2 linked regions of the Coturnix japonica genome follow. The protein of the gene in region 1 purifies or fractionates together with the protein of each later gene. This does not show direct contact. Links are inferred from orthologs where the notes say so. Each region holds a gene or a part of one and is shown in the gene's direction. Other genes may lie near its edges.

The links. Proteins that work in one complex are often made in the same cells at the same time.
Region 2: the proteins of ASB6 (region 1) and COPS5 purify together in Homo sapiens (affinity purification with mass spectrometry; 3 studies listed by BioGRID and IntAct, with this or other methods). This does not show direct contact. The link is inferred for Coturnix japonica from reciprocal best matches to the Homo sapiens genes ASB6 and COPS5.

The regions. Positions count from the first base shown.
Region 1 is NC_029532.1:4,261,328-4,267,771, reverse strand, and holds the start of ASB6 (ankyrin repeat and SOCS box protein 6), read left to right. Parts: upstream 1-2,845; 5' UTR 2,846-2,957; intron 2,958-3,042; 5' UTR 3,043-3,135; coding exon 3,136-3,248; intron 3,249-3,387; exon of another isoform or gene 3,388-3,437; coding exon 3,438-3,619; intron 3,620-3,977; coding exon 3,978-4,084; intron 4,085-4,499; coding exon 4,500-4,608; intron 4,609-5,050; coding exon 5,051-5,149; intron 5,150-5,486; coding exon 5,487-6,253; 3' UTR 6,254-6,444. UniProt on the Homo sapiens protein: Probable substrate-recognition component of a SCF-like ECS (Elongin-Cullin-SOCS-box protein) E3 ubiquitin-protein ligase complex which mediates the ubiquitination and subsequent proteasomal degradation of target proteins.
Region 2 is NC_029517.1:104,431,157-104,437,064, reverse strand, and holds part of COPS5 (COP9 signalosome complex subunit 5), read left to right. Parts: intron 1-818; coding exon 819-947; intron 948-2,121; coding exon 2,122-2,187; intron 2,188-3,541; coding exon 3,542-3,627; intron 3,628-5,908. UniProt on the Homo sapiens protein: Probable protease subunit of the COP9 signalosome complex (CSN), a complex involved in various cellular and developmental processes.

The DNA.
Region 1 (6,444 bases):
TTTCCTTCCCTTTTGAAACCAAACAGTCGCTATTAATGCCATTTCCTTTGTAGCGGTAGGATTTAGCTTCTTTTTTGGAGGTGTGTGTGTGGGGGGGGTGTTGAAAAATGTGTTTTAAGTGCTTCAAACTGGTGCTGGCAAAAGGAGATCCCGGCGCAACGGAGAGTGTTGGGTGGAAACTGAGCCAAGCACGTTCAGTGCACCTAACCCTGAGTGTACGGGCTCCAATCCCACTCTGTGGGGCAGAGCAGCACAGACCCCACTGCGATGCTGTCTGTGCTCCTTGGCGGGTTTCCCTCTTCGTTTTTCCCACCTTAAAACTGGATGAACTCAATGTAATCGAGGCGCAAAGAGAGACGTGGGGGTGATGCCCCATTGTGTCCTCCTATGGGGGGATCAGTGTCACACCATGGGGGTATCTCAAGGGGCAGGGGCTGCAGTGCCTTTGGTGGCATTACACACCCCAAACCCATGGGAAGGTTTCTCCCCCAAACCCTTAATTCCCCACTTTCCATCTCCTTCTTTCTCTCCTTCCTTCTCTCTTTCTTTCCCTGCCAGCAATCCCAGTCCCAGATGAACCAATACTCCGTGGCTCTGCTATTTCCCTTTTATTCCCCCCCCCCCCAAACCCCCACAACCCTTCAGCAGCGAGATGGGAAAAGAGTGAACTACAAAAAAAAAAGAAAAGAAAAGAAAGAAAGCAAAAAAAAAAAAATCAAAGCTGCACATATTGGATCCAGATGTGCTTACAGCCCTTTCCAGCAATTTAATTAAATTCCCCCAGACAGCCAGGAGGATTTCTTAATGATCAAATTTCCCTGGCTTTCCTCCTAAAATGCCCCTCTTTCTTCGGCTCGCTGCTGCTCTGTCTCCCTGATGGATGGCAGCTCACATTCCTCCCCGCCGCCCCGCCGGGCGCTGCCAGCAATGGCACAGCCATCCCGGTGTGAGGCTGGGCACCAACACAGTGATGGGGAACCGGGCTGTGGGTACGGGAATAGGGGTGAGGGGGGCAACATGTGGGGGGTTGTGACATGTAAAGGGGGGGAGGGCACCGCGGGGACGTGGTGGGGATGCAAGGGAGGACACAACGGGGATCCAAATGGGATGTGGTGAAGATGAGGTGGGGACGCAGCAGGGATGTGGTAGGGACAGGAATGGGATGTGGTGGGCACACAATGGGGACACAGCAGGGACATGGATGGGACGTGATGGAGACACTGCAGGGGCATGGTGGGTGCACTACAGGGACATCATTGCAGGGACATAGAAAAGCCACAGCAGGAACGTGATGGGGACATGGCAGGGGTGCAATAGGGCCACATTAGGGACACGACAGGGACACTCACAGCATTGCCATCTAAATAACTTCTCCCATAACAGTGCCTGGGGCTGGACCTGCCCGGTGCCCCCTGGTGCCACATGGCTGGGGATGGTGACAGTGCCAGGTCTGGGGAACACGGAGGGTTTGGGGGTGGGAGAAACACCATGGGGATGTGCATGGCCCTGACAGCCCCTAAACCCACATCCCAGGGAGCTGGCAGCCAATGGGTGCAGTATGGGGCACCCAAAGCCCTATGGGTGCAGTATGGGGCACCCAAAGCCCTATGGCTGCAATATGGGGCACCCACAGCCCTATGGGTGCAGTATGGAGCACCCACAGACCTATGGCTGCACTATGGGGCACCCACAGCCCTATGGGTGCAATATGGGGCACCCAAAGCCCTATGGCTGCAATATGGGGCACCCACAGCCCTATGGGTGCAGTATGGAGCACCCACAGCCCTATGGCTGCACTATGGGGCACCCACAGCCCTATGGCTGCAGTATGGGGCACCCACAGCCCTATGGGTGCAATATGGGGCACCCACAGCCATATGGGTGCAGTGTGGGGCACCCACAGCCCTATGGCTGCAGTATGGGGCACCCACAGCCCTATGGCTGCAGTATGGGGCACCCACAGCCCTATGGGTGCAGTATGGGGCACCCACAGCCCTATGGCTGCAATATGGGGCACCCACAGCCCTATGGCTGCAGTATGAGGCACCCACAGCCCTATGGCTGCAGTGTGGGGCACCCACAGCCCTATGGCTGCAATATGGGGCACCCACAGCCCTATGGGTGCAATATATGGGTGCCCACAGCCTCTAAATGGGCTGGCAATATAGGGCACCACAGCCCTAATGCTGCAATATGGGGCACCCACAGCCTATGCGCTGCAATATGGGGCACCCACAGCCCTAGGCTGCAGATATGGGGCACACAGCATCTATGGGGCATCTATGGGGCACCCAAACCTAATGGGCTGCATATGGGGCATCCCACAGCCCTATGGCTGCAATCTGGGTACACATTAAGCACCTGCCACAGCCCTATGGCTGCAAATGTAGGGGCACCCACAGCCCTATGGGTGCAGTATGGGGCAACCCACAGCCCTTGGGTGCAGTCTGGGCACCCAAAGCCCTAATGGCTGCAATATGGGGCACCCACAGCCTATGGCTGCAATGGGGCACCCACGATCCTATGGCTGCAATGTGGGGCACCCACAGCCTATGGGTGGCAGTAATGTGGCACCACACCCTATGGGTGGGCAGTATGGGGCACCACCAGCCTATGGCGTGCAGTATGGGGCACCACAGCCCTTATGGGTGCAGTACTGGAGGCACAGTGGGATCAATGGGGGCAGCTGCACCTTTGGGTGCCCCCTGGATGGGGCTGTATAGGGCGGCACCTGCTGTGCGCGCTCCCGTCCCTCTCCCATTCCCCCGCTGCCCCCTGGCGGCAGAGCGCGCATTAGGCCACGCCCCCTTTATAGACCACGCCCTCAATCAAACCCCGCCCACCTCGGAGGCAGCGGCTATTTCCACTTCCGGCGGCGGTGCCGTGCGGTGCTGGGTTGCGCTGCGTCTCTCGGGCTCCGGTTCCGGCCTGGTGAGGTCTATCGGAACCACCTCGAGGTTCTTTGCTTTGGGGGGCGGTGGGAGCGAGGGAGGCGATGTAGTTTTGAATGTAAAACTACCCGCAATCCGTCTTTACTTGCAGGGGGTGGCTGTGTGGAGAACAGGCCTGGCTGGGCCTAGCGGGTTGCTGTGTGTAGGCCCGAGGCTGTGCCATGCCGGAGGGCCCTGCGGGGGGATGCCATTCCTGCACGGCTTCCGTAGGATCACCCTGGAGTACCAGCCCATGGTGGATGAGATCCTGGCGCTGCTGACACTGCGGGACGATGGAGGGAAGGATGAGATGGAAAGGTAATTGATTGGGCTGTAAGCGGAGCTATGGGGGTAAGGGGCTGCTTATATAAGGGTAAGGGTACTGCTGTATAAGCCAACAGTTTACAAGGCAATAGGAGAAACTAAAGCTTTTTCCCCTCCCTGCTTTGACCCATAGGAAACACATACTGCCCAGGTGAGTAACTGGTTGTTTTCATTCACATCCAGCCACACCTGCCTGGGGAGCAATGGAGGCCAGCTCTCAGCAATGAGACAAGTCTTGCAGAGGGAAGCCCACTCCCCATTCTACCAGGAAGGTGTGAGTTATACCCTGCTGAAGGTCACTGAGCTGGGGCTCGTCCAGGCTGCAGAAGTACTGCTGGAGTTTGGTGCAGACCTCAGCTTTGAAGGTATGGCTGTGGGGTGGGTGCTGTGCTTGACTCTGCTGCTTGGGTTGGCTGGGAGGGTCTGGTTGGTGAGAAGCTGGCCCTGCAAGGCAGAGATAACTGGGACAGAAAGGGAGGGGTGCTGCTAACTCTGGCTTCAGGCTCCCACTCTGGATTTGATTAGATGTGCCTTGTCTATACTCTTATTATATCTCTATAAGAGCAGACTGGGGGATGGCCAGAGAATGGGAGCCAGCTGGCATCTTTGGGGGGTTTTGTCAGAGGCAAAGCCACTGCAGATACAGGACCTGGGGCATCTGTAACGATTGCTTCTATAGACAGCTATTCTCAGTGCCCACCCTGATGTGTTTTGTGTCCTCAGACCCAGTTACCTACTACACCCCGCTGCACATTGCAGTGCTTCGCAACCAGCCTGACATGGTGGAGCTCCTGGCGCGTCACGGGGCTGACATCAACCGCAGAGACCGGGTATGGAACTGACTGCTTGGACATGAACATGCTCCAGCTTCCTTGGGGCTGCACAGGGCCATTGTGTGGGGTCAGCCCTCTCTGCTGCCCCTTCCAGGGCTTGCTGCATACTGCCTTCCATCAGTGGCCTCCCAAGCTGCTGCCTGTGCTGCTCCAGTGCTATGGCAAAAGCTGAGGCCGCCTTTGGCCAAGCAGAGCTGCTTTCTGCTGTGGAGCATGTGATGGGAGGAAGCTGGGGTATATCACCCTCTCCCTTTAAACATAGTGACTCTGGGGAGGGGGCTGTCATTCTTGTTTTTGGGGACAGGATGAATTCTATGCTCTCTTGTTGGCCATGATGAAGCCATCAGTGATTCTCCAGCAGTACTCATAAATAGTCCTTAATACTTGTGGATTCTCCTCTCGCCCTGTACAGATCCATGAGAGCAGTCCCCTTGATCTGGCCAGCGAGGAGCCTGAGCGGCTGCCATGCCTCCAGAGACTGCTTCAGCTTGGGGCTGACGTCAACGCAGCTGACAAAACCGGTTTGTGGGGTGCTTCCAGCAGGTGGGCTGGAGCAGGGCATGGGATCTGTGTCCCTTCACTTTGCTGCTGCTAATTCTGCCTGCTTCGGAAATTAATGCAGGCTGTAGAACCTCCCTGGTGCTCTGTGCTGTCTCCTAGTATCTTGTCTGCATTAGATGCAGCAGGAGGCTAAAAGCAGCTCTGTACAGCCCATGGAGGATGGAATTGGGTGAAGGGGGGGGGGTTTGTGCTCTGAAAACCACTCTGCCATGGCCCATGTGCCCTATGGGGCCACCACAGCTGTGCTCCATCACAGTGATGTTGGGAGCCTGCTAGCAGAAGGGCTGTTTCCCTCATGTTTAGCCATTGGGCTGGTGGGATGGATTCTTCTCCTTAGTTCTGGTGGGCTGAGCGTTTCCAGGTGGAGCACTGTCTCATCTGATTCGTCTTTTCCTACTGCAGGAAAGACGGCATTGTTGCACGCCTTGTTGCACTGTTATTGCAGCAGTGATGTCGTCCAGATCCACAACACAGAGAGCATCCGTCTGCTGCTGGAAGGAGGTGAGGACAACAGCTCCCTTCTCCACTCAGAGCCCCTCTAGGCCAGGTGCTGCCCTCCCAACTCCTTTATGTTCCCATCCGAGTAAGAGTAAAGTCCAGAAGAGCGCTCTGTTCAGGGTGCTCGGATTGGAAGTACTTTTCCACTAGGGAGAAGCACTGTTTGTCAGCCCTCTTGCTGTCAGCTCCATGCTGGGTTGTGCAGGTGCATGCTGCATTTAAGTACAGTGTTTCATACCTCCTGGTGGTACTAAAGGATCCACACCCCCTCTCCTGAATCCATCCTGATTGTGTCCTGCCTTTCTTTGCAGCTCCATTTATCTTCTGTTCCTTCCTCCAGGTGCAGATGCCAGGGCTACCACTGAAGATGGAGACACTGTCTTCACCTACATCATCTTCCTACTGGGTGACATAGTCTTGGCCAGCACAGAGGCCGAGGTACAGAATCGTTTCTGCATTCGTGTCATGCAGCTGCTCATGGCCCACGGTGCCAACCCCAGTGAGTGCCCATCCCTCGAGTCCTTCACCTACCGCTGCCTCCAGAACTTCACGTGCCACTTCCCACTGCTGCGTTTCCTGCTGGAGTCAGGTGCTGCCTACAACTGTTCCCTCCATGGTCCCTCATGCTGGTCAGGCTTCCAAACTGTTTTTGACTGCCTCTGCTCTCACGTCAGTATCCTCAAAGACAGCAGCATCTCTACAGAGGTCATCCAAATGGGTCAGACTCTGCTGGAGCTCATGATGGCCAGTTCACAAACCATCCAGCTGCCCAGTGACTTTAAGGTCGACGTTAACAGCTGCAGGTACCACGAGGAAAAGATCAGGACTCTGTTCTGCTCCGTGAAGCAGCTGGAGCACACCCCACAGGCACTGAAACATCTCTGCAGGGTGTCCATCCGCCAGTGCCTTAGGCCTTGGCCAATAGATGTAAAAATCAAGGCTCTACCTCTTCCAGACAGGCTGAAGTGGTACCTCCTCATTGACCACACTGCTGTTGGGCATGAGGACCTCAGCCTGACCGATGACTCTCCATCTCCTCATTCTGTGGTCGCAGTGCCTCCAGACAGTCAGCAAATCACTGCTCTGCACCCGTTATCTCTGCAGTGAGAGGTACTGCTTGTCCCTGTGCCAATGACTCGACCAATTCTGCCTGTGGTGTCTCTGCTGATTTTTCAGGGGTGTCTTTTATTGTGCACACTGCTGCATGCTCGTCTGTGGAGGTCTCGTGGCTTTAAAATATATTGCAGGGAGGTGAGCAGAGCCTGGGAGGGCTCATGGGCAGTGCGGAGTTGGACACT
Region 2 (5,908 bases), on another chromosome or scaffold:
CTTAAGTATAGAGCATGGCATCGGTATTTACATGTACGGTTAGTTCATTTGACTTTTAGAACAGCCCAGGTTTATATGGGAGAATTCATGATACGAAAATAAAGCAAAAACAATAACTCAGCTTTACTGGAGCTCTGACAGTGCGTCCTGGCTGCTTCACATCTGAGGTTGGAAAGCACTTTGTCCTGGAGTAACTCTTTTTAATGTTAGATTACATGTTGATAATAAGAGCACTCTGCATAAGTGCTCTACAGAAGCTAATGTTGCAATTACTTGCTCCTCCATAGGCAGGATCTGATGATAAAATAGTTAAAAGAAAAATGTTATTTGTTTCAACGACTCAAATGTTCAGTTGGGTAGATCGTGTGTTCTGTCCCTCTTAATAGTTTCCAGATTTAACCTTCCTGGTATGCTCAGTATTTGGCAAAACCAAGCAGCTGAATGCATTGAACACACTGCCATGTAGGATGTACATAAATCCTTTCACTCAATATTGATCAGCCAGTACACAGTTCTTGGCCAGTTACAATAAACTAGGTGCGCTGGCTGTTTATTCACCGTGATTAACAATCAATTTTGATTGGTTTTGTTTGTTTGTTTGGGGTACTTGCTGAGATATCCCGGAGTATTATTTGGGAACTTCTTTTATAGTTAAGCAAAATAAAGTGCATGTTGAATATTTCAAGTTAGCATACAGGCTGTGTATATTCTTTTTATCCTCTTGCTGCGTTGTAGTGTGCTGGAAGGCTCAGTAGAGGGCAGCCCATGCTTTACGAATGAGGATCATCACTGGATTTGTTTTCCTTCACTGCTGTTAGGTTGGTCGTCTAGAAAATGCAATTGGCTGGTACCACAGTCACCCTGGCTACGGCTGCTGGCTCTCTGGGATCGATGTCAGTACTCAGATGCTTAATCAGCAATTTCAAGAACCCTTTGTAGCAGTGGTGGTAAGTACTGTGTGATGGCTGCGTAGCAAATTGTGTTGAGAGGGAAATAACTTCTAGATTTTTGTCCATGTTATGGCCTAGTAACGTGTATTTTGCAGGATGGAAGTGGTAGATCTAAATCTTAAATTATTATCGCTCCTTTTGCATTTCTAGTTATGTGCTGGTCAAACTGGTAGTCTTGTTCATTGAGACCATTTTTGCTTCATTGCTCCAGAGGATGCTGTGCTGTACAAATCTATATGCTGCTCTTAGTTTGAAGTTGGTACTTGTGCAAAAAATGCATTAACAATCCATATTCAGCCTCTTGCAGTGTAGCAGAAATCTGGTTTTGTTCTTTTTGTTGCTTGTTCTGAAGGAATGAGTAGATTATGTTCACACAGTTCTGTTGCTTTGAACCTGAAGTGCTGTTTAATTGAAATGAGTGACATGGTCTAAGGTAGAAGATTCTAGAAAGTCTTTGAAGAAAAGATCTGAAGAAATTGTTTGGGCCATTTCAAGCTGCAGATCACATTTTAAATCCAAAGAAACCTTACTTTAAGTACAGCTTGTGCAACTACTGCTGCTGAAGGAAACAAATGATAAAAGACTGAAATTAGTCAGAAAGAAGGAATATGGGTAGTGTTAGCATTCCATTAGACAAGGACAAATCACCCTAGAAGTATTTCTACTGTATGAGTTTCCCCATGTTATGACAATTAAATGGATTCAGAACATTCCCTTTAGGACTTCTTTCTGTTTTCATTTATTCCTTTCTCTTTTCTTTCTTTTAAAATGAGGCAGAACATCAGTAAGTTTATTCTCAAGGAGATTCCTCTGCAATTCTTCTCTCTATTCCACCAAAGTACAGCAGGTCACAATATCTTTCTTAGCTTTAGTAGGACTGTGCTGTGTTGAAAGATTAAAATGTAGATTTTTATTCTGGCTCATTGCTTGCTCTAAGTGCAATTTCTTTTTAAGTATTTGGGAAAGGGATGAAATGGATTTGCAAAATGGTCCCTAGAAAGCTATTGATCTTTAATTGATAGAGTCACATGCCAATGGATGTCAACTGAAAAAATACTGTTTATGACTAAACAAATAGAATTTGCACTAATTAGTTCCTGAACTATGATCACTATTAATTGTAATAGTTCATTCAATGTTACATAAGAAGCATTACCTGTATTTTTTACAGATTGATCCAACAAGAACAATATCTGCAGGAAAAGTAAATCTCGGTGCATTTAGGACATATCCTAAGGTAAAAGCTTAAAATTATGTGTAGTGTAATCAATAACCTCTCTTTGAGTAATTGATCGGTGCTAAACATTAGTGCATCTGCTTCGCTGTATCACTGTGCATTCATAATGACTTGATGCCGTACTTGTTATTGTGTGAATATTGATTACATTTAGAGAAGTTGACTTCTAGGATGTTTTTAATAGATTTTTGTCAGTCTTAAATAGACTCTCTAGAGGAGGGAGCTTTCCTGTCATTCATTAATGTATTTATCTTAATTTTTTTCTAACATTTTTTTAGACCTAACATACTAGTAAGATTTTCTCTCATATGTTGTAACCTGCTTTTCATTGGAGCATTTGAAACACTCTGTAATTACCTCTTTCAGGTAAACACTATGAATATTCAAAAAAAAAACAACCCAACAACCATAAAAAGAGGTGAATTAACATGGAAGGGTTAGGCTAAAAACTAAGGATTCACCACAATATTGAAGATCTGGACCTCCACATGCAGTCTTATGGTTCTACTTCTGACACATACAGTTGTGCTCTTTTATTTCCATCTAATACAGTTTAAGTATAATTGGAAGTTTGATTCCCAGTTATCATTGACTTATCAAGAACATTCATCTGTCATTCAGTAAAACTGTAATCAGCAAGAATGTTTATGGGGCATTCCAGTTTACATTCAACATTATTTTAGAGCTGAAAAATATGCACAAGCTCAACCTTGAACAATTTGTGTTTCAGAAGAATATTCAGCTGTGTTGGCAAAAGCATTTCATAAATGCCATATTTTGAGCAGGGAGAAGAATCCTGCACCTGGAAACCAAATCCTGTGTAGAAAATGCACATTGGATGGGTATTTGAAGGGAGTCCTTGGATCATTTTGCAAGCAGATCTTGCCTAGTCAATAGCTGTGAGGGGCAGCACTTTAGACAAATAAGTAGCTTAAGTTTTATGTCTCTCTAGGGCATATGCAGGGCAAACATGATTCTTCCCACTTCACTTACCTTCTGTCTTCCCTCCAAAAAGGACCAAAATCACTTCTCAGAATAGGAAAAGAAATCTTGCATTAGAAGCTCTTTACTACTTTGATCTATTAAAAGATCCAATCCTAACTTGGCACCCTGTTCGCTTCTAACACTTTTTGACAGACCTGCAAACATAAAGACTTATAGTAAAGCGAAATGTAAACCTGAGATGCAAGAAAATTCCAAATTTCAGGCTAGTGGGGGAAATGTCATCTTCTTTACAGAAGTGTTTTCTTTGCATAAATCACAATTTTTGTGAAATGCTTTTCAAGAGCTTATTCATTCCTTAACAGTCCCAGATGTACTGTGTCATCTTTGCCCTTTCTTTGTTTAATTGTAGGGGTACAAACCTCCGGATGAAGGTCCTTCTGAATACCAAACTATTCCACTTAATAAAATAGAAGACTTTGGTGTTCATTGTAAACAGTAAGTAACATAAAAATTACTGACTGCAGCATGAGTTCTCAGTTTTTGTATTTAGTCTAATGATTCACCAAAAACTGCATTTCTTGGTGTGTTTCAAATCATGGCATTATTTGTTGCATTAGTACTGTTGATTTTGTGGAAAAGCATGTCCTTTTTCAGAAGATCTTCTACGGGGGAACAGTTTTAAAGATGAGGTTTCTTTTAACCTGGTTGAAAGAGCTAGCAGTTGTTTAACTTATAAGGAATAGTGCTTTCTTTGGGCAAGGAGTACAAAGTCAGATGCAGATTTAGCAGCAGGGCTGCTCTTCTCAGTAACAGCAACTGTGGTGCATACCTTTATACTGTGTCACCGTTAATGTGGCTGCAGGTTTTCAATCATATTGTTTCTTTCCTTGGTGAAGTGGAGCTGCTTCAAACGATAATATCAGCAACAGGAAGAATTACTGCTTTTTCTCTCCTGATGGAGAGAATACATTTCCATGTATTTTAAAGGCAGTTTAATTTTAACCATTCTCCTAGCACCCTGTCACTTGTTCCTCGCTTCATACATACATGTACTTACATGGAAAAGCATTTGTTTTGCCAGGTCAGTCCCCTGATCTGATCCAATTTGCAGCAGTACATATGTTCTTGCTGGTTAAGCTAAGGTAGAGGCAGATGATGGAGATGCAGTATTTGGGAAGATTCATAGAGTAGCTTGGGTTGGAAGGGATGTTAAAGACCATCCAGTTCCAACACCCACAGGCAGAGTTGCCACCCACTAGCTCAGGCTGCTCGAGGCCCCATCCAGCCTCACCTTGAATGCCTCCAGGGATCAGCAAGAGAAAGATGGGATTGCTCCTTCCATGCTGGTTTTGATTCCACCTTCAAGTGTTTGACGAGCCCTGCAGTTTAAGGAACTGTGTACAGAAAACTTCTGAGATCTCACTGACACCGTGTAGGTTCATGGATGTGATGTAGGCCGTTGCCTGTTTTTTTTTCCATGGTTTTGGTGCATGGATATCTATTTGTAGTGCATTTATAGCTGCATGCGGAGTTGGACTCTCAAGATATCAAGAAATTATTACAATTGAGAATTGATTTTCCTATCCAAACTGAGAAAATTCCAGAGCAGTGGCTACACAGAAATCTTTTTAGTAATGAATCTGTCGCTTCAGAATAGTGCTTGTATGGACACTGCCCATAAACGTTGGTATATATTAACGTATGAGTGGAAGGTGTGTTTTATCTTTATTTGAAGTGGTCAGTTTGGGAGAGTTCATTTGCTTATTTGGGGGTTTTGCTGTGGGATTTACTGTTGGTTTTTTGTTGCTTTTTTTCCTTCTTTAAGTTGGCAGTGCTTAATATTTACCATCATAACCTTCATCTCAGGAAGCTGGCTTATCGTACAAGCTATTTCTTGCCATCCAAAGAAAATATTTTCCAGTCTTCCCTAGGGAAGAAACAGCAGTTAGGGAAAAAGATGGAATTTAAACTGGAATTTTGGCACATTACTGAACTACTGATTGCAAATGATTAGAATGATGGCTTCCTCTCAGTAGTATGGGTAGTTGCACTACAGATTTAAAATGTAGCCAATTTGAATGATGGTCCTCTCTATTTGATAGTCTAGTCACTACTAGTTGTTTCATAGTAACAGTAACTTTGCATAGAAATTAAGCAATGATATGTTTATTGGTAGCTTTCTGAAGAGTTTAGTGATCAAAATAAAATCTAGCATAACTTGAATGTTGCTGTAATTCATCTACACAGAGCTCAGCTTTCTGTCTACGTAGTCAGATCTTATGAATTGCGTAGTACCAGCAAAGTTTGACTTTAAAAACAAGTATGGTATGACAAAATTATTTGTCCGTTAGTAACATTTACTGCTATCAAATGTTCCTAATTGAATTAGATCACAAAATTAGTGATCTGCTATTAAAAAATTACAGTATTGAAGAGCCATAGAATCACCAAGGTTGGAAAAGACTTCCAAGGTCATCTAGTCCAACCATCCTATCACCGATAGTTGCACTAAACCATGTCCCTCAGTACAACACCTTAACACTTCTTGAACACCTCCAGGGTCAGTGGATCCATAGCCTCCCTGATCAGCCCATTCCAGTGCCTGATCACTCTCTTGGAGAGGAAGTATTTCCTAACGTCCAGCCTGAATCTCCCCTGACACAACTTGAGGCCATTCCCTCTAGTCCTGTCACTAGTTAGATGGGAAAGGAGGCCAACCTCCACCTCACCACATCTTCCCTTCAGGTAGTTGTAGGGAGCAGTAAGGTCTCCCCTG